Linked DNA regions of Notamacropus eugenii. The protein of the gene in region 2 binds, or shares a complex with, the protein of the main gene of each other region. Links are inferred from orthologs where the notes say so. Each region holds a gene or a part of one and is shown on either strand. Other genes may lie near its edges. The genes, in order: SNW1, DHX16, SNRPD3 and SNRPF.

What was found.
Region 1: DHX16 (region 2) and SNW1 share a complex: the UniProt entries of both Homo sapiens proteins name them as parts of the minor spliceosome. The link is inferred for Notamacropus eugenii from reciprocal best matches to the Homo sapiens genes DHX16 and SNW1.
Region 3: DHX16 (region 2) and SNRPD3 share a complex: the UniProt entries of both Homo sapiens proteins name them as parts of the minor spliceosome. The link is inferred for Notamacropus eugenii from reciprocal best matches to the Homo sapiens genes DHX16 and SNRPD3.
Region 4: DHX16 (region 2) and SNRPF share a complex: the UniProt entries of both Homo sapiens proteins name them as parts of the minor spliceosome. The link is inferred for Notamacropus eugenii from reciprocal best matches to the Homo sapiens genes DHX16 and SNRPF.

What each region holds. Positions count from the first base shown.
Region 1 is NC_092878.1:61,529,969-61,537,816, forward strand, and holds the start of SNW1 (SNW domain-containing protein 1), read right to left. Parts: upstream 3,016-7,848; 5' UTR 3,001-3,015; coding exon 2,963-3,000; intron 2,824-2,962; coding exon 2,670-2,823; intron 1-2,669. UniProt on the Homo sapiens protein: Involved in pre-mRNA splicing as component of the spliceosome. As a component of the minor spliceosome, involved in the splicing of U12-type introns in pre-mRNAs.
Region 2 is NC_092873.1:84,542,467-84,550,089, forward strand, and holds the start of DHX16 (pre-mRNA-splicing factor ATP-dependent RNA helicase DHX16), read right to left. Parts: upstream 3,004-7,623; 5' UTR 2,741-3,003; coding exon 2,534-2,740; intron 2,526-2,533; exon of another isoform or gene 2,319-2,525; coding exon of another isoform or gene 2,310-2,318; intron 1,599-2,309; coding exon 1,357-1,598; intron 1,227-1,356; coding exon 1,061-1,226; intron 676-1,060; coding exon 619-675; intron 1-618. Other genes in the region: PPP1R18 (phostensin), read right to left, coding at 7,608-7,623. UniProt on the Homo sapiens protein: Required for pre-mRNA splicing as a component of the spliceosome. Contributes to pre-mRNA splicing after spliceosome formation and prior to the first transesterification reaction.
Region 3 is NC_092875.1:1,748,924-1,755,806, reverse strand, and holds the start of SNRPD3 (small nuclear ribonucleoprotein Sm D3), read right to left. Parts: upstream 3,008-6,883; 5' UTR 2,801-3,007; intron 2,182-2,800; 5' UTR 2,164-2,181; coding exon 2,038-2,163; intron 1-2,037. Other genes in the region: protein GUCD1, read left to right, coding at 3,292-3,328, 3,783-3,867, 4,460-4,628, 4,775-4,866. UniProt on the Homo sapiens protein: Plays a role in pre-mRNA splicing as a core component of the spliceosomal U1, U2, U4 and U5 small nuclear ribonucleoproteins (snRNPs), the building blocks of the spliceosome.
Region 4 is NC_092874.1:278,477,613-278,484,762, reverse strand, and holds the start of SNRPF (small nuclear ribonucleoprotein F), read right to left. Parts: upstream 3,010-7,150; 5' UTR 2,793-3,009; coding exon 2,790-2,792; intron 1,317-2,789; coding exon 1,191-1,316; intron 1-1,190. UniProt on the Homo sapiens protein: Plays a role in pre-mRNA splicing as a core component of the spliceosomal U1, U2, U4 and U5 small nuclear ribonucleoproteins (snRNPs), the building blocks of the spliceosome.

The DNA.
Region 1 (7,848 bases), on a different chromosome or scaffold from region 2:
GATGCTTTTTTCTCCAAACATTCACTCTTCTGGAAAAGTGCCCATGGCATTTTCAGATTAACAGGCCAATTTAGTTTGACTTTTCAAAACCTATTCTGCTCTACCTAGCTTTAAGAAATCTTAGCTATTAAAATAAGATTTTTAAAAATTCAACTACGCCATGAAGTTAATTATCAATTCCTTTTTAACTACATGAAATCTGAAATGCAAGAAGGCTACACTCCCTAATTTTACATGATTTTACATTTTACTTGCTGAAGAAGCCCAGTTTTAGATAAACTCAAAGACCAGGTTATTAAGATAAGAATTCACTATTCAACAAAAACTTCTGGGGAGAACAGAAAGTGGTCTGGGAGACATGAAAAGTATAAACCACAATTTAACACTAAAACCAAGATAAGCCCCAAATGGATACATGACTCAGAAAGAAATGGTGACATCATAAACAAATTAGAGGAGCAATGATTACTATTTACACTTATGAATAGGGGAAGAACTCATGACCAAACAAGGAACCAAACATGGAAAATCCTTATTATATAAAATAAGAAAAGTTTCTGTACAAACCAAACAAATGTGGCTAAAATTAGAGAAGTAGGTAACTGGGAGCTGGGGTGGGGGGGTGAATCTTTGCAGCATTTTTTTTGGTAATGGTTTCATTTCCAAGCTATATAAAGAACTAATTAAAATTTATTAGAATAAGGGCTCCAATTGATCAATGGCCAAATGATATCAATAGGCAGTTTTCAGAGGAAGAAATCAATGCTATTAACAGCCATGTGAAAAAAAGGCTCCAGATAACTAATAATTACAGAATACAAATTAAAGGAACTGTGAGGTTCCACACCCATTGCATCCATCAGACTGGCTAAATTGATAAAAAATGTAAAATGATAAAGGAGCTCAATACTAAAGGAGCTGTGAAAAAAACATATATTAATCTACTAGTCATGGAGCTGTGAACTGGTCCACTTGTTGTGCAAAGGTCATCTGGCACTATGTCTCAAAATTTATTAAGCAATACATACCCTTTGACTCAGTCATATACCACTACTGGAAGTCTATACTCCTAAGAGATCAAAGAAAGAGTAAAAGAACCCATACATACAAAAATACTTGTAACAGCTCTTTTTGTAGTGGCAAAGAACTGATAACTCCAAGAACTAGAAAGGTAATTCAGAATATGTGTATTGTCTGACAAGCAGTCAAGTTAAGTCTAAAGAGTTCCACCAGCAGACTGGTCACAAGATATTCTAAACAGAAATTCATCAGCTTTCAAAGACTGAATACTGAGTCAAAGAAACGAGGCAATGGGCACAATATGGGGAGTATTCACACCAACAATTCAACAATCATATATTAAGTGCCTACTATGTTGAAAAAATTATGCTAAGACTAGTGATACAAAGACAAAATTAAAAACAATGTTGCCTTCAAGGGGCTTATTCCACTGGAAGGAGACAATTTTTATTTTTTATTTTTTTTATTTTTTTTTTTTAATTTTTTTATTTTTTTAATGTTTAACAATCACTGCCATACAATTGCGATTTTATCCCTCCCCACCCACCCCCCACTACCTCCCTCCCTCCCCACGACTGCATACAATTCTGTATAGATTCTACATATACTTTCCTATTGAGTATATTTTCACTATAGTCATGCTATGTAGTCAGACTAAGATAAATGAAAGAATCCGTATAACAAATCAGAACATGATACACAAACAGATACACATACACAAACATGATCTGCTACATTATGTGAGTGACTTCCATATTTCTCTCTCTGAGTGTGGAAGGCATTTTGCCTTGAGGTCCACCATTGGGATTTTTTTTTTTTTTTCGGAAGTTCTTGTGTTATTACAAAAATCTAAGTCTACCAGAAAAAGCTCTCACACACTGTGGTTGTTGCTGTGCATAAAGTTCTCCTGGTTCTGCTCCTTTCACTCAGCATCAGGTCATATGGAGACAATTTTTAAAAACAACATGTCAAAGATTCCTGAATAAGAATTAATGTTTACATGTAACACTATAAGATTTACATGGTGTTCTCCACATAATCTATAATCTGTAAACATTATCACCCCCCATTTTACAGATGAGAGAATTAAGCTCAGACCTGCTTTCCACTGATGGACAATGCCCTTTGTACCTCAATTTCCTTATTTTTGCAATGAGGGGGTTGGACTAGATTGGCTCCAATGTCCTGTCTCTCTCCAATATCTTATAAACTCTAACTCCAGTTTTTCCCTAACACTTGCAGTATCTTCCAGAGCTACTTCTCTACCCTACCAAAACTATAAAGATTTTTTTGCACGTACAAAGGATTTTGGACCTGTGACGAAATTAATTCCTGCCATTACTCAAGCTCATACCTTTTGTGAGAAGGGTTAGGGACTCCTATTTCCCTAAGAATTGGTTGTTTGGTTTGTTTTCTCTATCTTTTAAGCATCCTACTTCTTGACTATTTCCCTATTCATCAGCACTTTTCAAAGGGTAAAACACTATTAGTTTACTAATAATAATACTAATAATTAGTTTACTTTAGACAACTATATTTCAAAACAGTACTGAAGTAGATGCTAGAAAACTCCATGGTTTAGACTTACTCATTAATTCTACAGCAACCCTGATCAATTTAATAAATCCAAAATGAAGGCTAATATTTACCTCTAACAAACGAGGTATCCAACCTTTCCGATAACCATAAGGAGGAGGTTCTCTTCTTGATGAGACCAGTGCAGTCTGCCTTGATCTCTGTGATCTTGCCCTTTCCTCAGCCTCAAGTTGGTCCTGAGACAGCTGAGTTGGAGCAGGTAAAAAGCTATAAAAAAGGATAAGGAGAAAAGTTAGAATACAAACAAAAACACTTTATGTCATTCAAATCAATAATGAGAATAAAATTTTTCTGGCTAATTTCATGAAAAGGGAGAATCTCTACTGATCTGTAGAAATGCCAATACCAGTCATTTTGTATTCCAGGTAATAATGAAGTACTCATTCATGGGATCAAGAATATCTGACTAAAGGCAAATGAGATGAGTTCTACGACCAGGACTGTCTCTGTATACCTCACAATAGCTATTATACTATGTTTTTCAATCTCTTGTAACCTAAGAGTAAATCCTCAGTCATTCAGAGAATGATTGCCCAGAATACTGATTTTCTTTTTGTTCCCTTTTAATCATTACAGTACCAATATTGAAGGACAAGTAGAAACAGGGAAGAGAAGTCGAAACCTCAAAGAAAGAAAAGGATAGGGAATAGGCATGTAGCAGTTAAGAGAAAAAAAAAAAAGTACATTTAAGAATCCTTTTTTTATCCTGTTCAATTCAAGAATATATATAATCTTAAGTAACAACAAAAAGGTTGATTTTCTGAAAAAAGCTATTAACGTTTAAGAAACTGAAGTAGTGCCAACTTGAATTGTTTTTGACTATACTTCCAGTGTATTGATCATAATAAATGTTAAGTTATTAAGCAAAAAGATCCAGTGTATTTATACTGAAAATGAATTATAGCACATGGAACAAAACCTTTGACATTCACTGTACAAAAGGCTTAATGAGTCCCGCAAAATACTGGTCAACCAAGAATAAAAAGAAAAGTCAATCACTGCCTTAAACATACTGTTAGCATTAGAAAAGCAATTCTATCTTTGACAGAAAGAGTCCAACTCTTGTTTCTGCATGCTAATATAGTATGGATCAAAAGAACTTAGGTCAGACTTCCCCCAAAAATTTCTACTGGAACTATCCACAAGAAGTCCTATGGGCATGCTGTTTAACCCTTTGGAAAATTCAATTGAACAGAGTCAAGAAGTAAAATGCTTAAAAGATAGAGGAAAACCAATTCCTAGGGGAACAGTTTCAATTTTAAACAGTTTAAGATTTCCACTTTGCAGGCTTCATAAAGTTAGCAAAAACGAATTCAATGAAAACATAAGAACCACCGGCCTACCTTAAAATTAAGCCAATACTGATATTGTTACTACTGGGCATCTCCCTTGTATGAATATGTACATAAATGTATACATATGGGTGCCTATGTGTGTTTATACACACACCACCCTTTCCACAATATCTAGCTCAGGTCCTACTTCCTCAGTGAAGCCTTTCCTTACCTATCTTCTAACTCCTTTGGTACTTCTCCCTCCCTGCCCACAAAAGTCAGCATTCTATTACACTTCAATTGCTTTGTATGCCTACATTTGGTCAAGAGTAAAAGAGGCTTGTAAACCAGAGTTCGCCTCTTCAATTGCCCTTTCTACAGACCACACCATGTAACTCGTTTTTTTCCCAAGCTTCACTGTTATGGTCCGTTCGGAATGATGAGTTAAGTAGGAACAGCAGGAAAGGGGCAGGAGCTGGGGATACCGATGACGCTAGATTAGGGGCCTCCTTGGTTTCTTTGGTATTCTCAGGGCTTGGCGGAGTACCTGGAACACAATAAACCTTTATGGCTTGACTTTCCGCAGTCTCTCCTCGAGTTTCCTCTTCTCTTGCCGGTGTGTGTTTTTAAGGAAAATTGTTTCCGCTTACTAAGCACCTGTTTCAGGAATTAGTCTCAGCTACGTAATTTTTTTTTTTTTTGCTCACTACGTACTAACGATCATTCGCTGGCAATCGGGGGCCGCCTTCACACGCAGCTCCCACCACATCGGGAAGCGGCAGGACTCAGATCTGCCTGGGGGGGGTAGTTCTCTTCCACTGGACTGGCCATGAGTCCCCTCACCCCCAATTCAGAGCTCGCCAGGCGGAGGCACTCTTCTGTTTTCCGAGAAGGTCCAACCGATAAGGGAGCAGACAGCGGCTGGAAGCCCGCCTCAGCTTCCAGCTCCTTCCCACCACCGGTAACCACCGTCCCCTTCCTGGTCCCCACATGCCAGCCCCGATTCCCCACCTCCACCTCCCTCCAGATTCCCCACCTCCACCTCCCTCCACAGGAGGGAAGGCCTCTTCACTCCCTCGCCCTCGGAAACGAGAACAACTAAGGCAATCCTCGAACGCGCAGGGGCAGGGAAGCGTGAGCCACGCCGATGTCGGCAGCCACGACTAGGGGCGGCCAGCGCTCGGGGTAGGTGTTCAGGAAAGGCCCCGGCTTCCGGGGAGGCCTGGTCGACTCGGCCGCTAACGGGAAGTCCTGGCCCACAGCTTTACCCCAAAGCATCGCTACTCCCCTGACCGGCACCCTCCCAGAGTGTGGAAGCCGAGGAATAAAAGGCAAAAGCGAACTGAATCTCTTCCGTAACGCAGACCCCCTCCTCCCCCACAGACCTCAAAACCCACCTGGTAAGCGCCATCTTCTTCCGCTGCTTTCAGCGCTCGCGGCAGCTCAGCTGGGAGGGGTTTGCTAGGCAACTGAAAGGGTTAGGGGGAAGGCGGAGAAGAAAAGGCGAGAGCACTGCGCACGCACCTTTAACGAAAGGCCTCTTGGGATTTGTAGTACTTTGAGCGAAGGGCGGGGAGGGGGCGGGGCGAAACCGTGGGCGAATAGAGCAAGGGCGGATTCAGCTCTCTTTAACGCTTCAATTGAACGTACGCCATGAGGTCACCCACATTGTGTGACGTTCAAGGCCTGCCCTAAGCCAAATTGTGAAGTCTCGCTATTTGGTGTGGGATACTTTTTCAGAGCAGTTTAACAAGGTCTTTGGTCTAAGGAACCTGTCAGCTAATGGAATTGATGTTTTTAGAGGAACCTAGGGGACTCATTGGGCAAAACGTTGGACCTGGAGTCAAGAGAGATCAGAGTTCAAAGTCGTTATCTGACGCTTACTAGTTGTGTGACCTTGGACAAGTCAATGAACTTTCTACCTCAATTTCCTCATCTGTAAACCGGGGGTAATAATAGCACCTACATTTCAGGGTTATTGTAAGGATGAGATCATCTTTATGATACAAACCATAAAGAGCTATAAAAATGCTAGCTGCTTTTATACTTTTTGGAATCAAAGGAATACTTATCTCTAATAATACAATTGAAGGCGCTGCTGCAGGACTTGGGGGAAATATTTTAATACTGGAGGAACTGTTGGATGCCCTTCAAAGAACAACAAATACTTCAGTACCGAGGACAGCACCACATAGTAAGACAGTAGATCCACAAGCATTTTATTCAGTACCTACTGTGGCAGAAGCTGCTCATTTCGGGGGTAAACAAAGACAGAAAAGAAACAGTCCCCTGCTCTCAAGGATCTCACGGTCTAATGTGGGCCCTAATGAACTTTTGTTCTTAGTGACAACTGATGATAAGGAGATGAAACAAATTGTGGTAACAATGAAGAGTTAAGTTCTGGTTTTCCTACCATAATAGTAATAACAATAACTAATACTGTAAATGAGAGCTCACAACAGCAAGGGATCAACATGGGCTAGAGTTTTCAGAAAAGGCTTATTAATATCAATAGGTTCTAAAGACACAAATCAACAGTATACGGTGTTTACTAGGTGCTAAGTACTGTACTAAGTGCTAAGCTAAGCTAAATTAAATAGTCCAAGTCTTTAAAGAGCATACATTATACTAGAGGAAAATAGTATATGCACAGATTAATCAAAATAAAGTTATTTATTCTATGGGATAGGGACACCAGCAAGGACCTTGTGTAGGGCAGGACTTCTTCAACTTTTTCTACTCCTGATCCCTTTGCACATGAGAAATTTTTATGCAACTCTGAGCATGTAGGTATATAAAATAGGGATACAAATAAAACATTGATTAATAATAAATCATAAAGAAATTTATTTTATAACAATTCTTTGGTATACATATAATTTTACCATTTACTAAAATGAAAAGCAAATTTACATACTAATGAGATGGATGTGCCTGTTTATTTTTACATAAAGAATTAAATCTTGGCAGAATATTTGATACTGTTGGACATAGAACATCTTCAGTGTTTTTCAGAGATGTTTGATATTTTGATTTTATAATTGTCAATGCTGAGAACACCACTTCACATAAATACATAGTACAAAATGGCAGAAGTATGTTTAGGGCCATTCAGAAATTGTTGGAAATTCTGTCCTTATCCTAAGCCAAAATTCACTTAATGATTTGGTACGTATGGTAAAAACAAAACAAAACAACAACTTCAGTTCATAACATACAATAGTCTCCAATATGAGCTGAGTTGTTCTTGGCGATATTCGTTGGCATTGTGTGGAGTGATGGTATGCACATGAGCAGTGCAAAGTATGCATATTGTGTGTTCAGAACCAAGGCAGCAGGGAAGTAGTGTAATGCAACATGGACAAGCGCTGGCAGAAACGCCTCACATTCATTTGATTTTGAGTTAGTTTTGGGTCATTGTGCATTCAGAAACCTTTTACTTTTGCCAGATATTTTGTGACCCCCACATTTAGCCACATAACCCCATATGGAGTCACAATTTAAAAAGCTCTGTTATACGGGATGGCACTTGAGCTGAGACTCAGAGAAAGCCAAACATTCTAAGAGAGGCAAATGACAAGGGACTATATTCTAGTCATGGATGCCATCTTACATAAAGGCACAAAAGCAAAAGATACCTCATATATTATCTCATTTGATCCTCACAACAACCCTGTGAAGTAGGTGCTTATTTTTGCCCACATATTTTTCAGATGAGGAAATTCAGGTTGAGTATGGGAAATGGCTGAAGTGTTGGAGTTTGGCCAGGATGTTAAGTTTGCAAGAGAGAGTAATGTGAAATCAATCTGGATATACAGGCTGAAGGCAGACTGTAAAAGATTTTAAATGCCAAACAGAAGCATTTGAGTTTGATTTTAGAGACAATAGGGAGCCCCTGGAGTTTCTTAAGCAGGAGAGTAACATGATCAGGCATGTTACTGCAATAATAATATTGATT
Region 2 (7,623 bases):
TTTTCTACTATATCACACAAGAACTATAAAGACCTGTTTCCCCAAGCTGGATGACTAGGCAGAGGACCCCAAAGCCAGTGCATCCTGACATCTACCCAGTCATTCCTTTTCCTTCTGAGCTAACTTTCAGTTGCACATTCATCAATGACACAAGGAAACAATCTCCAAAAGAAGTTTATCCCCCTGTTAATACGATGTATAACTTGGTCCTTGAAGAACCAACCACGGAGGGTTTGCAGCAAGCTTGAACATACTTTTCACGTGCAAGCAGTCTTTCTCATGGTTATCCTTTGTACCTCTTGCAGTAGTGTCTACATATAATCCAAACCTCAACTACAACCTGTCTCAAGAACCTGACAACTGATAAGAACATGAGATGCAGAAGTAGAAGGGTCCATATAGATCATCTAGTTCAGCCAACTCATTTTACAAATGAGTTAGAGGAGGCCTCAAATGGCTAAGACACTTGCCCAAGATCACATAGACAGAAGCAGTAGAATGGAGTTTAACCAAAATCAAGTCCTCTGACTCGAAACTCTTTCCATTATAACACACAGGGGATCTTTTCCAGGCATCTAATCTTGGCTCACAAGAGAGGTTATGGGGGATATGACTTACCATTGCTTTCTGGTCTTCTTCAGCCATCTTAAGGCGCTTCTGGGCCTCCTCATATGCCTAAAAGGAGAAATAAGGAGGTAGTTAAGGAACCAGGCTCCCACCCCCACTTCTACAGAATCATAAGGATCATGAAGACAGATTAGAGGTCATAGTACCTTATGGGGAGAATTGTCTATGAATGCAGATGCTAAAATGATGCTTAAGAGACTCTGTACTCAAAAAAAAAAAAAAAAAGACTGTACTCTCCATAGTCATACTTGCCAGAATAACAACAAACATGGGGCTACAAGGATCCAGTTCCCTTCATAAGGACTATCATCTGTGGGGTCACAAATCTGACAATGATATCAGGAGTATAAAACTACAGAGGGGCCTTCCTTGGCTGCCACTCTCTTTCGAGTATCTACATAAATTGTTATGAGACACACCAACAATTATGCACCTTCTTGTCTGACCGCTCCAAAATATTTCGTGTTCTCTCCTTGTCCCGCTTTCGCACACGTTCAGCAAAAGCATCCCGTTCCTCCAGGTCCTGAAGCCGCTCCCTCTCAGTTCGTTCCCACTCATCTTCTGACTCTGGCTTTTGCTCTTTGCTGCTCTCATTCACCCTGCAGATCAGCCCCAGTTTAGGTAAAGTAAGAGAGAAACAGAGTCTAATCATACTCTGACTCATAATTATTGGCTCTCCTACCCAAATTCCACTCCCCTTGGGGAACTTTTTGTTGTCAAGATACTCACTTTGTCCTCTTCTTGTCTCCCTCAGAGTCCTGCTCTTCTTCCTCCTCTTCATGGGTCTTCTTCCTAAGATGTTTCCGTTTCTTGCTCTTTTTTTGGGACCCACTTCTCACTAGGCTCTGGATCTCCCGATCGCTCTCTTCACTTTCCTCCAGAAGCTGGTATGAACGATTCTTCTCTAGCAGAGCCAAAGCCTCACGCTCTGCCACCCGGCCTGGCCTTTCTACAACTGCCTTCCGTGGGACCTAGGAAAGGAAGGGATGACAAAAGGTTATCAGCTGCTAGCTCCATTTGCCTATCTCAGTACCCTAGAGCACTTGCTTCACATCTTTCATCATCTATCCCTTTCCTATAACTCCTCAGTTTCCACACATCCATTTTATTTCCCCTTGTAACCTCCACAAACCAGCTGTCTCTCCCATTAAACTGTGAGCTCCCTGAGAATAGGGGCTGTCTTTTGCCTCTCTGAATCCTCCTAGTTTAGCACACGTGGTGACTGTGATCTCTTCCTACATGTATTCCTATGATCAGAGCTAGCACTAGGATATACTCAATGAAAACAACAGCTTCCCCAGTTGTGTGTGTTGAGGAGCAGTTCAGGTGAGGAATGAGAGGATGAAGCCCTTTTTTTTTGATCCCTGGATCCTTAATGGTCTTTCCCCTTGAATTTCCCATGACATTTTGTCTTGCTTCTCTCTCAAGTGAGGTTGGTGACCCTGCACAGCTCTCCCTCACTCAAATCAAAGTCATGTCATCATGTCATGTCATGGTCCTCTTGGAAAACTAAGGCCACACGCAACGACAACCTGATGGAACCATCCCACCCGCTGCATGCAGATCTACTGGTGTCTTATCCCACAAGTAGACCACGTAAACCCTGTAATGCCCCCTCGTGAGCCCCGCTGATGCCAGCCCGACGTGTGCTGCACTTTGGGGCCCCTCCTGCGCCCTTTCACCAGTTTCATCTGCAGGAGGACACCACATGCCGTCGGTGCCCGTGGGCATTTATGGCGCGCAGGTTCGTCACTATTCACAGCCGCTAACCTCCGCGCCACCGAGAGACGTGGTGGCCACGGACGGACTTCCCTCGTCTCCCAGAGGAGGACATCCGGCCCCGCCCCCACCTCCCCGGGCTTGTCTCCCCGGCCTCCGGGGGCTCCCTCCGCGTTCCCGGAAGCACCTTGGCCCAGAGCCTCAGAGCAAAGTCCCGGGCCGGCCCGCTGAGGTCTAAGGTGCCGGTGTCCCGCAGCCGCTCCACGAACTCGTCGGCCGTAGCACAGCGCTTCGCCGTGCCGATGAGGAACTGCGCGACGTGCCGCTCGCTCAGGCCCAGCACGGCGTGCAGCTCGTCCTGCACCCAGCGCTCCAGTCTGGCCGGGGTCGCCATGGGGACTTGGGCGCGTCAGCCGGCCCCGACTTCCGGCGCTCGGCCCCAGCGGGGCCCCGCGGCCACGGCAATGGTCCCGGCAAAGGCCGCGGCCCGGGCGCGTGCGCTCGGAAGGGAGGCAGAGCGAGGGCCCCTCAGGGCCCCGAGGCGCAAAGCCCGTAGCCCCGGCACCCACCACTTCCGGGCCGTACCGCCAGCCAAGCAGGCAGGAAAATGGCGATACGAAAAGGGACCTTTCGGGAGGCCGAGGACAAGAAAAACTTCCGGTTTGAATTCCTACCCCGTTTCTTTTTTTGGCTTCCCCCTACAGGAGTGGAGGTCTTATTGCATGTGTAGCGGGCGGCGTTACAGGCTTCGCCAGGCTTCACCTGCCAAGAAGAGGAGCATGAAGGATAGAAGTTAGATGTCTAGGAGGACTTCGCAGCAAGGAAAGGCCGGGAACCAGGATCTGGGGAGAGGTGGAAGGGTTAAGTGACTGCCTGCTCTCTCTGTGCTGGGGGAAGCGCCTCCTGGATGAAGTTTGAAGGAAGGATGGGATTTTCTCAATATCAGGGCTTTGGGAATAGTACAGTGGGCATTTGTGGAAGATATATAGAGATGCCCGAGAACTGGAAAATCACCGAGACACTCACTATTATGTCAACTGCCTTGTCCACTGGTAGAGGGGAAATCTCTCAATTAGAGACCAGACTGTAAGGTCTTAAAAGAGATTAGAGCTACAAACATTATATCTTGCACAACTGATTGCTTGGGTAGCAGTGTGTGCCTGAATATTTGAAATAATGGAAACAGTAGTTTCTGATATTCCAGCTCATGAAGTTGATACTGTTGCTTTCTATCTGCACATAACCTTGGGGAAGTTACAGCTTCTCAGGACTTCAGCTTCAATAGCTTTCCCAAACCTTTTCATCCCTCCTCAAAATTCCTGTGACTCCCTCCCTTATTCATTCAACTGAGAACATTAACTCATATTTCATTGAAAAAATTGAGACTGTTCATGGAGAGCTCGTTCTCCTAAGATCATTCGGATAGAATGATCCTTCACCTCTGTCTCACAGATAGTACTTCTTGCCATGGCAAATTGCAACATACAAGAACATTCTCTTCTCTTGCAGACTATCTTCCCTATTCTCTTGTTATTTTTTGGGGGGGAGTGGGGGTGGGGGTGGGGGGGGTGTCCAAGCAATTGAGGTTACATGAGTTGCCCAAAGTTACACAGCCAGTAAGTGTGTCAAGTGTCTGAGGCTGGATTTGAACTCAGGTCTTCCTGACTCCAGAGCCAGTGCTGTACTCACTAGGTCACCTAGCTGCCCATGTTGTTAATCTTTAGTCACTTTTTACCTACTAGCTGCTTCCCTACTTCCTAACAACGTGTCCTTGTTAACCCCATCCTCATTTGATCCATCTATCCTCATAATTGTCCTTCATCTTTCCCCCCTTTTTTGTGGCTACCCTCCTTGAGGTTGTCTACAATGGGTGCCTCTACCTTCTTTCCTGTCTTAACTGTATAGTTTAGCTCCCATCTTCATCATTTAACCAAAACTACCAATGATGTCCTAATTGCCAAATATAGTGACCTTTTCTCAGTCCTCATATTTCTTGATCTCTTTGCAGCCTTTGACACTATAGATCACTCTCTTAAAAAAAAATACTCTTTCCTCTTTAAGTTTTTATGACAATATTCTTTCCTGGTTCTTCTCCCAGTGTGAATGCTTCTTCTTAGCTTACTTTTCTGGATTCATTGAGGGGAGGAATCATTGTGGAGAAGAAGCCCACCTTCCTATCCAACTGCCACCAATAGTCAGATGGGCCCTAGAAGTGGCAACAGGTCTTAGATCACTGGTCCTGTTTCAGGCCTGGCCATTACAGTCATCATCTAGAGAGGTAACTCCTCTGGTGAAAGAGCCAGCCATCCCCAGAAACTGCCAACCAACTGCCACACACAAGATACCTAGAGAGAGAGCCAGAAGGCAGCATGTGTCTGGCAAGTCAGATTATCATTACAACCTTGACCACTATCTCCTTTCGGAACCTATGGGCACAGGTCATGATCCTGAACCTGAGTCTTGGGAATAGCAATGCTTCCAACCTCAGTGCCTTCAGTCATCGTCCTAGGAAGCAAACCCTGTGTAGATGCAGCCTGACAACTGCTCTTACAGGCGTTACAGCCACAGCTAACTGGACCCAATGTAGTCCTGGAAGACCCAGGATTCTTGCTACCAAAGCCCTTGACACTGTAAAATGGTTCATTATCAGAAACCAATGATTTTATCAGTGGAAAGGACATAATCTGCTTTGCCTCTGCACCCTGAAGATCATGAAACCTTTCCAATATGTTATCTCTATTATAATGTGAGCTCCTTGGTTAAGAGTAGGGACTGTCTTACTTTTCTATGTATATCCCCCAGTGCTTAGCACAGTACTTTGCACACAGCAAGTTCTTAATAAATGTTTTATTCATTCATTTGAGTGATGCCCATTAGCCTTGGGTGTCCCTAAAGTGTGCCCTCTTCTCCTTTCCCTTTATACTATTTCACTTAGTGATTCCAAGGATTCAATTACCTCTCAATTGATGACTCTTAGATCTACTTACCTAGCTCCTCACCTCTCTCCTGGCCTCTAATCTCCTGTCTTCAGATGGATGTTCTGCAGACATCTTAAATTCAACATATCCAAAACCAAACTCATTATTTTTCCCTCCAAGACCTCTTCTCTTCCTATCTTTCCTATTATTGTCCACTGCAATCCTCTAACTACTCAGGGCTTGTAGCCTATGTATCATCCTTAACTCCTCACTCTCACTGCCCTCCCCATCCAATCTGTCACCAAATTCTGTTCTTTCTCCTTTTTGTAAAAATCGAACTATCCGTCATCTTGTTCTCTATTCTGACACTGCCACTATCTTGCCTTATCACCTCACACCTGAAATATTGAAGTAACCTCCTGATTAGTCTCCCTGCCGCGTCTCTCCCCACTCCAATCCATCCTCTACTCAACTGTCAAACTGATCTTCCTTAATGCACACATCTGACCAGATAACCCTTTTCTTTCACTCAACAAACTCCAATGGTTCCCTATTACCTCTAGGATCAAATATGAAATTCTTTGGTCTACAAAGCCCTTAATCTTCCGGCCTTCTCCTGCCTTTCTGGTCTTTTTATACCTTACTCTGCAATCCAGCAATACTTTGGATGGAACCCATCTCTTGATTCTGGGCATTTTCAAGAGCTGCCTGAACTCCTGGCATTCTTTCTCTCATCTCTGTCTCCTGGTCATCCTGGTTTCCTTCAAGATCCAGAAAAAATTCCCCCTTCTCTGAGAAGCCTTTTCCAATCCTCCTTAATTCTAGTGCCTTCCTTCAGCTGACTATCTTCCATTTATCCTGTATCTGTATTGTTTGTGCATAGTTGTTTACATGTTGTCTTTGGATCTTATTAAATCTTTCCTTGAGAGCAGGAACTGGTTTTTGACTTTCTTTGTATCACCAGTGCTCAGCACAGTACCTGGCACACAAGTAGGTGCTTAATATATGTTTGTTGACTGAATTTCTTTGTTCATAAAATGAAGATAATTGGACTAGATGAACTCTAAGGGCCCTACCGGGCCTACAATGAATTCCTTTTGGAGCCAGCTACAATAGAACTCCCTACCTCCCTTCTATGGGCTACACACCCTAAGGAGGGAGATTTTCTTAGCTATTTGTGAGGGTATCAGGTCCACTTCTCCATCTTTTCAGCTCTTCTCACTTGATTTTTTTTTCCCCCAAAGCTGTTCCCCCTGCACTGAAGTCTCTTCTTCTGCTTACAACCAACAAAGCTAAAGAGAGTTCAATCTGTTCCCTAGAACAGGGAATGCCCTTCCCTTCCCCTAGAGCATGAAAATCTGGTCAAATTCATGCTTCCCACCCCATAGACTTCTCATTGGAAGAATTAAAGATGTAGCCAGAGAGGCCTCCATTTTATTACAGAAAATTAAAGAAGGAAAAAAAGGCCATAGACAAGGAGATGTAAGGTAGGACCTCATTAGGACCCTCCTGTGTTCCCTTCAGTTTAATTCTGGGTCACTGGAAGAAACATAAGAATTAACTGCTACAAGGGAGGGAAAGATTGAGGTCACCCCTCCTCCTTTTGGAAGACCCAAATAATACTGAACAAGGCAGGGTTAGGGAGGCTAGACATTCAAGAAGAAAGCCAAGCTCCAAACAGTAGAAGGCAAGTGAGAGGACCGCCCACTGGTTGAGTTGTGGTAACATAACCATGGCAGGTGTGATCTGTAAACCTGGAACTTTGGCTGAGTGAGACTTGGCAAAGTGGAAGCTGTAAACATAAGTGGGTGGAGACCCAGGCAGAAAAAAAGTACATCTTTAACCCCCAGAGGGGATGGATGCACCTGTAAACAAACAGAAGGAATGAGGGCAGAACTTCTCAAGGCAGAGTGGCCTGCACTTACCAACCTTGGGGCAGGGTGGGGTGTTGGCACGGTGGGGTTAGCAATGGATAGAGTGCTATTCAGAAGGAAGGAAAATTCTACCTTCTCATGACTCAGTAGGCTTTGCCCCCTTCCTTAGGGGATTTGGATTCTTTGACTCCCAGAGAGCCAAAGGCTCTCTCCTTTCGCTGAAAATGTCTAGAACACATTGTACAACAGTCTGAACCTAAGATCATGAATTAGAGGTCAGATGGGTTCTTCCCCCTTCCCCTCTCCCGACACAGCACAAAGAAGGTGAGGTGAAGGAAGTCCATGGGATTTCTCCTTCCTGACAGCTCATTTTATGGGGTCTGTCAGCACAGCAGCTTCTAGGAAGGATGGAAGATTGATCTTCAACACTCAGGAGTGGGAAGGAGTTCTGCCTTCCCAGTTGGAAAGGTCACCGGCGGCAGGAC
Region 3 (6,883 bases), on a different chromosome or scaffold from region 2:
GTCCTCCATGGCTATAGGGGAAGAAGCGGGGAGGAGGACTCGGGGGATGCCTATGAGGCATGACATCCAACTGGAATGAAGCACGGCTAACTGGCGATGGGGACAGAGAGGTCAGAGCTGGAGAAGTGTTCACACTGAGAATGGAAGTCACAGGGGCGGAGCTGGAGGCGATGCCCCTTCCACCTCTGAGTCTCTGCCATGCCAGACATGCCATGCCCCTGGCACACCTCCCAGGAGGCCCTGGGCTCCCTATTCCCTCGCACCCCTTCAGATCCAACATGGTGCTAAAGCCCAACCATTTCACCTTGGTGGCACCCTGCTCCACACCTGGATGGATGGCCTGCCTCAGTCTCCTCTCCAGGACATCATTCAGCCAGCGCAGGTCTGAGCATATCACCCCCACCCTCCTCCTCTATAACCTTCAGGATCAAGCACAAAATGCTGCCTGGCCTTCAAAGCCTTTATAATTAGACGTCTCCTGCCTTTCTTGGTACCTTACACTTTCTCTGCTCCAGGTCACAACATTCCATTTCCCACCTCCGTGCCTTTGAATTCAATGGCTGCCTCATGCCTACAACACCCTCTCTTCTCCCATCTCTGGGAGTTGAATCCCACCTTGTCCAAGAAGCCTAGGTTGGTTCTGGTTCCCCCATCATCCAGAGCTGCTTACCTGTTGTCTCATCCCTCAGACTGGGAGCTCCCCAGGGGAGGGGCAGGGTCTGCCCTTTTCTCCCCAGCACTGATTTTGCCTGGAGTGCGGCACAGAAATGCTTACTGAGTGCCTGCCTGCCCACCAGCTCTCCCTTCCACTTCTATCCCCAAGACAGCTGGCTCTGAGCTCGGCTGTCCAGCCTCCACACCTGCCAGCACGGGCCATCCAGCCCCGTCCCTGCAACCTCAGGGCAGCCTTCCCATGAGGCTTCTCTCCAGCCTCTATGACCTCCTTCTCTGGGAAGCCTTCCCTGCATCCTCCCACTGGGAGGCCTCAGACGCCGGGTGGGTGACCCTGGGCAATGGCCAGGCTCCTCAACCATAGACTGGGATCCTAACAGAGCCTGCCCCAGGCCTGTCTGGACCTCAAAGGAGACAATTAACACCTGCCACAAAATGAATGTCATTAGTTGTTACTGTCATTACTACCAGCGGGGAAACCGCCAAGGCTGCCAGCCTGGCACCTGGCCTGACTCCTATGTCTGTGCTGCCCAGCCCCTCTGGTTCCTGCAGCCTAGGCCGGGCTGCTGACCACACGTGACCTGGGGTGGGTAGGGTCTCTCCCCTCCATGTCCAGCAGCCAGCCTCGGTGCCCACCTGCCCCCCATGTCTGTGCTGCCCGGCCCCTGCACCCTAAGCCGGGCTGCTGACCACACGTGACCTGGGGTGGGTAGGGGCCCTCCCCTCCGTGCCCAGCGGGCTGCCTCCACCTGCCCCCCATGTCTGCGCTGCCCGACCCCTCTGTGCCCAGCGGCCAGCCTCGGTGCCTGCCTGACCTCCATGTCTGCGCTGCCTGGCCCCTCCGTGCCCAGCGGCCAGCCTCGGTGCCCGCCTGCCCCCCATGTCTGCACCATCCGGCCCCTCCGTGCCCAGCGGCCAGCCTCGGTGCCCGCCTGCCCCCCATGTCTGCACCATCCGGCCCCTCCGTGCCCAGCGGCCAGCCTCGGTGCCCGCCTGCCCCCCATGTCTGCACCATCCGGCCCCTCCGTGCCCAGCAGCCAGGCTCGGTGCCCGCCTGACCTCCATGTCTGCGCTGCCCGGCCCCTCCGTGCCCAGCGGCCAGCCTCGGTGCCCGCCTGACCCCCATGTCTGCGCTGCCCCGCTCCTCCGTGCCCAGCGGCCAGCCTCGGTGCCCGCCTGCCCCGTATGTCTGCGCTGCCTGGCCCCTCCATGCCCAGCGGCCAGCCTCGGTGCCCGCCTGCCCCGCATGTCTGCGCTGCCTGGCCCCTCCATGCCCAGCGGCCAGCCTCAGTGCCCGCCTGCCCCCCATATCTGCGCTGCCCCGCCCCTCCGTGCCCAGCCGCCGCGCTCGGCGCCACGCCGTACCTGGCAGTTCATGTTGTCCTCCGCCTCGATCAGCTTGCCCCGGTACACCTCCCCGGTGTTGGTCTCGCAGGTGACGATGTGCCCCTCCGCCTCATGCAGGACCTTGATGGGCACACCGATCGACATTCTGGCGACAGCGAGAACCTGCGGGGCCCAGCGGGACACGTGAGGCACTGGAGCCCAGCCCCCCAGGACCCAACCGGGCAGCGACAGCCCGGAAACCCTGCGCCAGGCCCGGGTCCGAGTGAAGGAGAAGACAATGGGGGTCCTCCTCCTACCCTGGGGAGGAACAAGCATTTAGGCGGCACCTACTGAATGTCCGGCGCTGCACCGAGTAAGCGCCTCGCAGATGGGGGGCGCTGTTATTAGAGCTCGGCACGCAGCTGGGAGGTGTACTTGGGGGGAGGGGCTCCGGGTGCAGGAAGGCCTGGGGGGGGCACTGAGGCAGGCTGCCGCCCCGCCGCTGGTGTCCAGGTGGGGGGGACAAATTCCGAATCAGGGCTGGGGGAAACAGGGAGTGGGGATGGGGCTCCGCCCCCAGCCTGGAGACCCCCCCCTGCGCCCTCCTTCCCGGGGCCCAGGGCATCCCTGGAGGAGGCTGAGGGAGGCCCTGCCAGAGAAAGGCGCGGGGGCGGGAGGCATGGCCTTGAACGCCGAGCCAGAGCCCCTCGCCCACGCGCTACTCTCCCCCCGTTCCCGCCCCCCCCCCCGGTTCCCATTCCCCCCGCCCCGGGTCGCGCGGACCCCTCGGCCCAGGCCTCACCTGCAGCCCCCGCCCCGGCTCCGGTTCCGGCGGCGCGAACGTGCGACAAACAGCGGCAACTGAATGGCGGGTCTCGCGGTCCCAGCATGCACCGGGCCCGGAAGCGGGGTGGGCACTTCCGGGGATCGCTCCGCCCCTAGACAGCCCGGTGGGAGCGGGAGAAGAGACTCTAGAGGCTTACAGGGGCGGGGCCTGAGGGCGGGGCCCATGGCGCGTGCTCGAGAAAGGGGCGGGAAATGGAGGATGGGGGCGTGGCCTGGGTTCGGCCTCTGCGCCTTGCGTGCCGCGTCGGTGGCGCGCTGTGCGTGCGCTAGCGCATGCGCCGTGAGAGATTTCGCGTCCTCCCGGGAGCGGCCGTGGCGGCGGTGGGGCCGGAGAGGGGTTGAGGAACCGAGGCGGGGGCCGAGATCCCGGGCAGAAGCGGATCGGGCCGGGGCCATGGCCAAGGCGCCTCCACAGCCCGAGCCCCGGCCCGTCCGCCCGCAGGCGGCATGAGGGAAGAGGCCGAGGGAGCCGGGGCCGAGCCCGGTGAGGGCAGCCGGGGAGTCTGAGGCACGGGCAGGGGGAAAGGGAAGGGTTATGGAGTCAGCCCGTTCTGACAGCTGGGGAGGCTGAGGCACGGCCCAGGGAGTCCGCTTACGGGGTCCTAGATCGGTCTCCCAGCGGGGGATACTGAGGCACGGCCCAGGGGTCCATGTACGGGGTCCTAGCCCGCCCTGACCAAGACTGAGGGGCACGGAATTAGCATCTCCTGGATGCCCAGCCTGGGACTCTGCGGGAGATCCGGAGGCCAAAGGCCCGGGTCCCCTAGGGCGGAGGAGCCCCAGGACTGGCCAGGGCGGGGACGGAATTTGAACTTCGGCCGGGGCGAAGGCTCCCAGGGCGGAGCCAGCACATTGGGAGGGGCGGGGCGGGGTCACTGCTGGACCATGGGGGGAGGGCCCCAACCCCGCCCTCCTCCGATGCTAGTCCTCTGTCCCAGGCGACTTCGTGCAACTGAAGGTGCCCATCGTGCAGCAGCTGTACCACTGGGACTGCGGGCTGGCCTGCTCCAGGATGGTGCTCAGGTGAGGCGGGGCCCGGGCTGGTGACCCCTCCTCTGACCTCCGGGATTGGCCGCTGGCCCACCCGGCACGTCCCTGTCCCCGCCCCTTCCGCGCTTGGGGTTTGGGAGGTGCACCACTCGGGCCCGCCCCAGTCCCTCCCTCAACTCGGTGATTGGTCGGTGTTCCCTTCGGCCCCTCCCCTGTCCTTTCAGAGCTCGGTAATTGACCCCCTGCGGGTCCCTGTCTTCTGTCTCTTTCCCCGCTCCCGTAGTTCGGGGATTAGTCGGCCCCACTCGGCCCCGCCCCAGTACTGTGATTGGCCGGTGACCCACCCGCGCCTCCATCTCTTTCCTCCCCCCTCAGGCCCCGCCTTCCCCCGCTCCCTGAGCTCGGTGATTGGCCGATGGTCCACCGTGCCCCGCCCTCAGCTCAGTGATTGGCCGATGCCTCCCCTCTGCTCCTTCCCCAGCCTTCCCTCAGAGCTCGGTAATTGCCTGGCGTCTTCTCCCTTCCCCCGCTCGGGGATTGGCTGCTACCCTGCCCGGGCCCGCCCCAGTCCCTCCCTCAGCTCGATGATTGGCCAGTGGCCCACCCGCGCACTCCCCCGCCCCAGGTACCTGAAGCTCCTGGAGGACGACGCTGCCTTCGAGCAGGCGCTGCAGGAGCTGCAGCTCACCCGGAGCATCTGGACCATCGACCTGGCCTACCTGATGCGCCACTTCGGGGCGCGCCACCGGTTCTGCACGCGGACGCTGGGCGTGGACAAGGGCTACCGGAACCAGGTGTGGGGGAGCCCCGCTGTCCCGGCTGGGAAGGGGGCCTGTGCAGGGGGGAGAGGGGGATCCCAGGCTGGCGCTGTTACCCTCCCTGCCCGGGCCGTGCCTAGGTCAGTGGCCACCGCGGCCTAAACGCCGTCTTCTCCGCTCAGTCCTTCTACAGGAGACACTTCGACGCCGAGGAGAGCCGGGTCAACCAGCTGTTCGCCCGGGCCTCGTCCTGCAAGGTGTTGGTGGAGAAGTGGTGAGACCCCTCCCCTGCCCCCGGGCACCCCTGAGTCTGATCCCTGCCAGGGCCCAGAGAGAGGGTGGCGGCTGGGCTTCAGGTCCTGCTGCGTGCGCTCCTTGACAGTGTCCATGCTCTCCCTGCTCTAACTCCCGTGGTTGGAAAGTGTTTATCCAAGAGTAGCCTTGATGCTGATTTTACACATGGGGAAACTGAGGCTTAGCGAGGCCACGCAGGTAGTAAGGGACAGGCTCAGCTCACAGCCTCAGCCCACCCTCCTGGGCACCTCAGCACACATGTGGCAAAGCTGGCACTGCCGACAGCCCCCATCTCCCACGGACAGCTCTGGTGCCATTCCGCCCTATCTTCCCAGCTCAGCCTTGAGAGCTCTGCCCTGAGCCCTCCGTGGATCCGCAGCTCAAGGCCCTTCTCACCCCAGCTTGCCCAGACCTGACCCCGAGGCCCCAGCTGAGTCCCACCCCGAGTACCTGATGCCCCCAGGGCACTGCTGCTCCCAGGAACCTCACTGGTATCATAGTAGTTGTTCTTGGATCTCTTCTCTGCCCCAGTCTTCCCCAGACCTATTACCTTCCTCGTTTCTCATAGCTCAGTACTGCTCCATCATAGCTACAGCCCAGATTGACCAGACATTTCCTGGTTGATGGGCCTTGCCTCAGTTTCCAATTCTCTGCTCCCACAGGAAGAGCTATTATTGATATTTCTCCTCTTGCTTTGGTCTCCTTGGGGTAGATATCTAGGAGTGATACCAGTGTTTCCTGCCTCTAGATTCTTCCAACCCCTCCCACATGGCTCATCTTTGGTCAGCTTTGCCCATCTGATGGGGCTGAGACAGATCCTTGGCGCTGGCTGGTTGGCATTTCTCCAATAAGCAGAGATTCAGAGTCTTTCTTCACATGGCTCTTAATGACTTAGATTCTTCTATTGAAAAGTGACCATTTATCGATTGGAGAAGGGTTCTCAATGCTCCCTATGTCATCTTAGAAATGACACTTTATCAGAGAAACTCACTGGGAAGGTTTCCCTTCATCTTGCTGCTTGTCTTTTGGGCCCTTTGGGTCACTGAGCCTTGTCTGCCCACCGGGCAACCTCTGTGGCAGAGCTAGCCCTTCCAGGACCCTCCCTCCCTCCCTTGTTCTCTGTCACTGCCATTGTCATGACCATGACTTTTGTCCTCATTCCGCCAGACCCTGTTAAGGCCATCCTTGGAGCTCAAATCCCTTCCTGGCTGTCAGGAGCCTCTGAGGTCACGGGGGAGCTTATCAAACCTAAGACCCCGCCACCCATGCTGCTATTATTTCATCTTGTCTGCCCCCTCCCCACCTTCTGTCCTCCACTGGGCATCTGTGTCTTGGTCCAGACCATCGATGTCAGATCCCTGGGGCACTCCACTGGAGACCTCTTTCCACATTTTCATCAAAGGTCCATGACTGACCAACCTATCAGCCAGTTCTGAATTCATTTCATTGTATTCTTTAGTCCATGTGGGTCCACTAATGGCACCATTGAGAACAGAACCTGGGCCTGGAGCCAGGAAGAATCCACTTCCTGAGTCTGGCCTCAGACACTTACTAGCTGAGCGACCCTGGACAGGTCACTTCATCCTGTTTACCTCGGTTTCCTCATCTGTTGAATGAGCTAAAGAAGGAAATGGCAAATGTTCCAGCATCTCAGCCAAGAAAACCCCAAGTGGGATCAAGGAGAGTCAGAAGTGACTGAGTGACCAAAAAGTTCACATCTCTACCTTTTGCCCAAAACTAGCATGAGATTCTTTATCAAAAACTTCACCCAGCCCTAGGCAAGTTGTGTGCACTGGCAGCGGTTCCTAGCCCTTCACAAAAGGCTGGCAGGTTAGGTGCCCCTTTGGGGAGCTTGGCCAAAATCAGCTTTTCATCTTTGCCTTCCTGTTGGCGGCATTTCCTTTGCCTCCCTCCTTTCCTCCTCCCTCGGAGTCAAACCCTGAAGAGAAGAATGGGGAGCAGGGGTGAGCCTGTCCCTGGATGCCATGGCCTTTCTC
Region 4 (7,150 bases), on a different chromosome or scaffold from region 2:
CAAGAAAAACAGCCTAACATTTGCTTTTTTATTATTTCTAAACCCACCAGTAAAATCCTACTCTGATGTCTCATGACATGGCTCTACAAAGTTATGAGTAGAATGCACATGCTGGCAGGTCCTACCGAGGTGGAAGTGACCTTTGTGACAGCAGCTGGAGCACAAGCCTCACCTAATTCAAAGAGGCTCATCTTCTGAAGGATGGAGACCAAGTGATAACTATGTAATGTAGATATCGAGGAGGGGGTAGGGAGCTTATGATGAAGCCTATGGATGGGGCTTTTCTCAGAAAAAATATTTTTAAATGCAGAAAATAAATTTTTCCTCAAAGAAAATTTAATCAAAGATAGATTTATTCTATCTCATTTAAGAAAAACATACTTTCTTAAAAAGCTAATTTCAATTGTTTTACTAAAATAATACTCTGAAGAAATGGTTATAAGTCCATCTCCAGTTACATTCTTCAGTATTACATCAACACATTTATTTAAACTGCAAAGCACACAAAGCACGGTTAAATTCTCTACAATACATTCAAATTCTGAATTCCAGTTTTCCTGACAATAATCTTTTATTTTCCTCTTAAGAAGTAAAGTCTTTTAACATTATTAGTTGCTTGTCTATTTAAAAACAAATGCTAAATGATTGTGAATCAAGGACCATTTAGATCACCGAAAATCCTAAGTATTAAGTAATCAATCCAAAGGGCAGTGAGAGGGCATATAGAGTGACTTTACTACCAACATACCTGGCAAATGTTATACCACAAGCTGGCTCCTCTCAATTGTGGTTGTTCATTCCTTTCAGTTGTGTCTGACTCTTCCATGACCCCATTTGGGGTTTTCTTAGCAAAGATACTGGAGTGGTTTGCCATTTCCTCCTCCACTTCATTTTGCAGATGAGGAAACTTGAGGCAAATAGGGTTAAATGACTTTCCCAGGGTCACACAACTAGTAAGTGTCTGAGACTGAATTTGAACTTGGGTCTTCCTGGCTCCTGGCTTCACTCCACTGCACCACCTAGTTGCCCTCTTTACTTCAAGTAAATTAAGACTCCGAAGCCTGAAGCTTAGGAGAGGAATTAAGGTATCAATTATTAAAAGGACATGACTTTTCACTGAAATCCTGGACAAGGCTCCAAGTCTCAGAAAGCAAGTAAAGTGAGGCCCACCCCACTCGAGTTTAGCTTACCTGCATGTTCATGTAGCCATCCACAGACACCAGGTAACCTTTATACTCCATTCCCCACTTAAGCTTCACCATCACTGGCTTCCCTGTCAGTCCATTCAGGAATGGTTTGGGGTTGAGGGGTAAACTCTGTACAGAGATGAGGTGATAAAGGCAAGACATTAGTCAAGATGGAGCTTTCACAGGATCTCAAGTAAGGGAAGGAACATGAGGGTTCATTTAGTCCAATATTCTTACTTGACAGAGAAGCCCAGAGCCCACTCCTCGTACTTTCCTAAATCACCCTATATTACATTCAGCCTTTCCTAGTACCCAAACTATTGAGTCCTGCTATGGTTAACCTCTTTCATTTTTGATTCACAGAGATGGGATGAAATAGATAAATTCACATTCGTTTATTCAACAGTTCCAGATTCCTCCTTCTCTACCAAGCCCCCAGAATGGGAGTTAGAAGCTTTAGAAAGAGTAAAGTCCACCCCTCCTCCTTCTAAAAGGAGGAAATCAAAGCCCAGGTGGCACGTTTGAGGGGAAGCACTGTCTTTGGCCTCTTTGTATCCCCAGTGCTTGGCACCGGCACCTGGTCTGGAGCTGGCACTTAAACGCTGGCCCAAGTGCCCCCAGCTAACACTGGGACGGAGCAGGGACTTGAACCCTGCATCTCTAAGGCCAAAGCTATTTCTCCTACACTATGATAACCAACAGTCACCTCCCCACCACAAGGCACTGCTGGAAGCCACTGGTGAAGGAAAACTCAGATACGTTTACTTTTTTTGGGGGAAGGGAAATAATAAAATATAATAATCATTATACGTATATAAAATAATTATGTATATAAAATACGATAATTATAATAAAATATAATAAGATGGCCAAACTACAGAAAAAAGAGGAAAAAGGTGCCTTTTTTTGGCAGGTGAGGGAAACTGAGGCTCAGGAGCTATAAGAGGATAACTCGGAGTTTAAAGGGGGCACAAATTGGAGCCAGGAGCTGACCAGAGTGATTCCCTGATCTTCGATTATTATTATTAAATATAACAGCAGTGAACCTGTATCACAGACGGCCTCTGAGGCCCCTTCTGGATCCCAACCTGTGCCTAGGGCTGTGTTTCTGGGGCCTCAGTTTCCCCGGCTGTAAAGGGGTTGGCCCATCCGACCAGGGAAGTTTGCCCAAGGCCTCAGTTTCCCGGGCTGTAAAGTGAGGAGGTGGGCCCAGACGGCCGCAGCCCCGCGGCTCCAAGCTCTCTCCCCCTGGCTTAAGTTCTAGGAGTCCACGGAAAGTTCCCTTCTGGCCCCGCCTCCTTTCCCCCCGCCCCCCTTTAAATGGCCCCTTCCAGGAGGCTTTAAAGCGCAGGACTCGGGCGAAACCAACTGGGGTCGAGGGGGAATGTAGGAGGGAAAAATAGCAGGCTCGCGAGCCGCTCCTCTCGCGAGACCGGAGGTGGGGGGGGACAGGGAAGAAAGGGACGAGCCAGGCCGCTCCCGCCCCCCACAGCAAATGAATGGGCAAGGCGGGAAGCGAGAACCCGTGCGGACGCTCTTCACGCCGCTACCAGGCCGCCACGGCTCCCGCCGCTGCCGCCGCCGCTGCCGCCGCCCCCTTACCATCGTCACCACCGAAGAGCGCCACGGGCCGTCCGCCGCCGCCGGTTCTCCTGCGCCCACGTGAAGCGAGCCACCGCCGCCCCTACCTCCGCCTCCCTCTAGCCGGCAAGCGTACGGAAGGCAGGGAAATGGCCGCCAGCCGGGAAGGTGAACTTTCACCCCTCACCCCGGCTTCCTTGTCATAGCTCTCCTCCCCCGCTCTCCTCCTCCCGGGCCTCTCGGATTGGACGGAAGCAGGTGGGTGGGGCTTGGAGGCGGGGCGGGGCGGAGCCGAGCAGGAGAGGCTCGTGCCGGGGTTGCTCAGTGCGCATGCGGACTCCTCCCGCGCCTGCGCCGCACGCGTCCAACAGTCGGAGATTTTAAAAAACCTTTTTCCCCAAAGTGCCTCAGTTATTTCTTTGCCCTTGAGCGTGTTCTTGTTCCCTAATCCTGACCGGACGCTGCCTCTGCTGACGGGACAGTGCGCCAGAAGCGGCCTCCCCGGAGGAGGGGGGTGGCGGCTGTAGGTATCGCGACCCCGGGGCCTCGTTCGCCTCCCCCGGGGGCCTGGCTTCGCTCCTTCCGTCTCCGCGAGGTTGTAGGGTGCCCCTCGGGAGCACGGGACGCGTGGCCGGGAAGGCCCTGCTCGGCCGGGGCAAGTCGCCTCGGGTCCCGGAGCCTCATTTCCTAATCTCAAATATATATATATACGTATATCTACACATGTGTATACATGTGTGTATATGTGTATATATGTATGTATATGTGTATACAATGTGTATACAAGTATGTACATGTGTATACATGTATGTATATGTGTATACATGTGTGTACATGCGTGTATATGTATGTATATGTGTATACACTGTGTGTACATGTATGTACATGTGTATGTATGTATATGTGTATACATGTGTGTACATGCGTATATATGTATGTATATGTGTATACACTGTGTGTACATGTATGTACATGTGTATATATGTATGTATATGTGTATACATGTGCGTACATGCGTATATATGTGTGTACACTGTGTGTACATGTATGTACATGCGTATACATGTATGTATATGTGTATACATGTGTGTACATGCGTATATATGTATGTATATGTGTACACACTGTGTGTACATGTATGTACATGTGTATATAATGTATGTATATGTGTATACATGTGTGTACATGCGTATATATGTGTGTACACTGTGTGTACATGTATGTACATGTGTATATATGTATGTATATGTGTATACATGTGTGTACATGCGTATATATGTGTGTACACTGTGTGTACATGTATGTACATGTGTGTATATGTATGTATATGTGTATACATGTGTGTACATGCGTGTATATGTGTATACACTGTGTGTACATGTATGTACATGTGTATATATGTATGTATATGTGTATACATGTGTGCACATGTGTATATATGTATGTATATGTGTATACATGCGTATATATGTGTACACTGTGTGTACATGTATGTACATGTGTATATATGTATGTATATGTGTGTACATGCGTATATATGTATGTATATGTGTATACACTGTGTGTACATGTATGTACATGCGTATATATGTATGTATATGTGTATACACTGTGTGTACATGTATGTACATGTGTATATATGTATGTATATGTGTATACATGCGTGTACATGCGTGTATATGCATGTATATGTGTGCACACTGTGTGTACATGTATGTACATGTGTATGTATGTATATGTGTATACATGTGTGTACATGCGTATATATGTATGTATATGTGTATACACTGTGTGTACATGTATGTACATGTGTATATATGTATGTATATGTGTATACATGTGCGTACATGCGTATATATGTGTGTACACTGTGTGTACATGTATGTACATGCGTATACATGTATGTATATGTGTATACATGTGTGTACATGCATATATATGTATGTATATGTGTACACACTGTGTGTACATGTATGTACATGTGTATATAATGTATGTATATGTGTATACATGTGTGTACATGCGTATATATGTATGTGTATGTGTATACACTGTGTGTACATGTATGTACATGTGTATATATGTATATGTGTATACATGTGTGTACATGCGTATATATGTGTGTACACTGTGTGTACATGTATGTACATGTGTATATATGTATGTATATGTGTATACATGTGTGTACATGCGTATATATGTGTATATGTGTATACACTGTGTGTACATGTATGTACATGCGTATATATGTATGTATATGTGTATACACTGTGTGTACATGTATGTACATGCGTATATATGTATGTATATGTGTATACACTGTGTGTACATGTATGTACATGTGTATATATGTATGTATATGTGCATACATGCGTGTACATGCGTGTATATGCATGTATATGTGTGCACACTGTGTGTACATGTATGTACATGCGTATATATGTATGTATATGTGTATACACTGTGTGTACATGTATGTACATGTGTATATATGTATGTATATGTGTATACATGCGTGTACATGCGTGTATATGCATGTATATGTGTGCACACTGTGTGTACATGTATGTACATGTGTATATATGTATGTATATGTGTGTACATGCGTATATATGTATGTATATATGTATACACTGTGTGTACATGTATGTACATGTGTATATATGTATGTATATGTGTGTACATGTGTATATGTGTATGTATATGTGTATACATGTGTGTACATGCGTATATATGTATGTATATGTGTATACAATGCGTATACATGTATGTACATGTGTATATATGTATGTATATGTGTATACACTGTGTATACATGTATGTACATGTGTATATATGTATGTATATGTGTATACATGTGTGTACATGTGTATATATGTATGTATATGTGTATACTCTGTGTATACATGTATGTACATGTGTGTATATGTATGTGTATGTGTACATGTGTATATATGTATGTATATGTGTATACAATGTGTATACATGTATGTACATGTGTATATATGTATGTACATGTGTATATATGTATGTGTATGCGTATGTGTACATGTGTATATATGTATGTATGTGTGTATACAATGTGTATACATGTATGTACATGTGTATATATGTATGTATATGTGTGTACATGTGTATATGTGTATGTATATGTGTATACAATGTGTATACATGTATGTACATGTGTATATGTATGTATATGTGTATACATGTGTGTATATGTGTATATATGTATGTATATGTGTATACAATGTGTATACATGTATGTACATGTGTATATATGTATGTATATGTGTATGCACGTGTGTATATGTGTATATATGTATGTGTGTATACATGTGTATACATGTATGTATATGTGTATATATGCGTGTATATGTGTGTATACATGTGTATATGTGTGTATATACACGTATATACATGGGAGGTTGGGGCCCGGAGGACACGGCCGAATGTAAATCGAGGCTCCCATCCTGCTGCCCCTTCGTCGGTGATTGGAGAAGCATAGCTTGGAGGAGAATCTAGACCAGCCTGCCCTTCGCTGTCATGTTTCCAAATACGTAATTGCAGTATATCTATGTCGGATAGTATGTTGGGAATATTATTTGGCTTGATTATGTTGAAATATAATTTATTGAATTGTAAACCCAAATTAGTGAATTCTCACAACAACCCTCCAAAACATTATTTTCCCCGTTTTACAGAGGAGAAAATTGAGGCAAACAGGTTAAGTGACTTGCGTAGTAAGCGTCTGAGGCTGGGTGAGGCCTAGCTTGTCATCCTACCTCACCACTTAACCCTTCCTTAAGCTCCCTATTACATCCAGGAGCGGATCTCCTTGAAATTAAAACTTAAGCTTTGATAGCTTAAAACTGCAAAACAGACATTTGGAATATTCTGTATAATCTGTGGCGTTTTAGGCTCTTAGTAGTCTGACCGCCCCTAACTCTTTTACTTCAGTCCGTATGCTGTACAATGATACTTGATAGATGGAGTCAGCAGAGCAGGCATTCCTTAAGCACATGCTATGTGGCAGGTGCTTGGGCTAGGCAAAAAGCAGTTCCTCTTATCAAGGATCTGACAGCCTAGTAGGGCAGACAACATAAAAACAACTGTACAAAGATGGATGTGGAATACGTTGGATATCATCAACAGAGAGAAGACACTAGTATTAAGGAGGATAGGGAAAGGTTTCTTGAAAATAGGTGGGATTTTAGCAGGGAATTGAAGGAAGTTGGGGAAGCCAAGAGTTGGAGAAGAAGGTAGGATGAATTCCAGGCATGGGGAGGGGGGGAGCAGGTGGGAGCAAACAGTGGAATTGCTTGAGACAGGTGGAGTGTCATGGGGATCTAATTTGTAGAAAGGAGTAAGGTGTAAGAAGA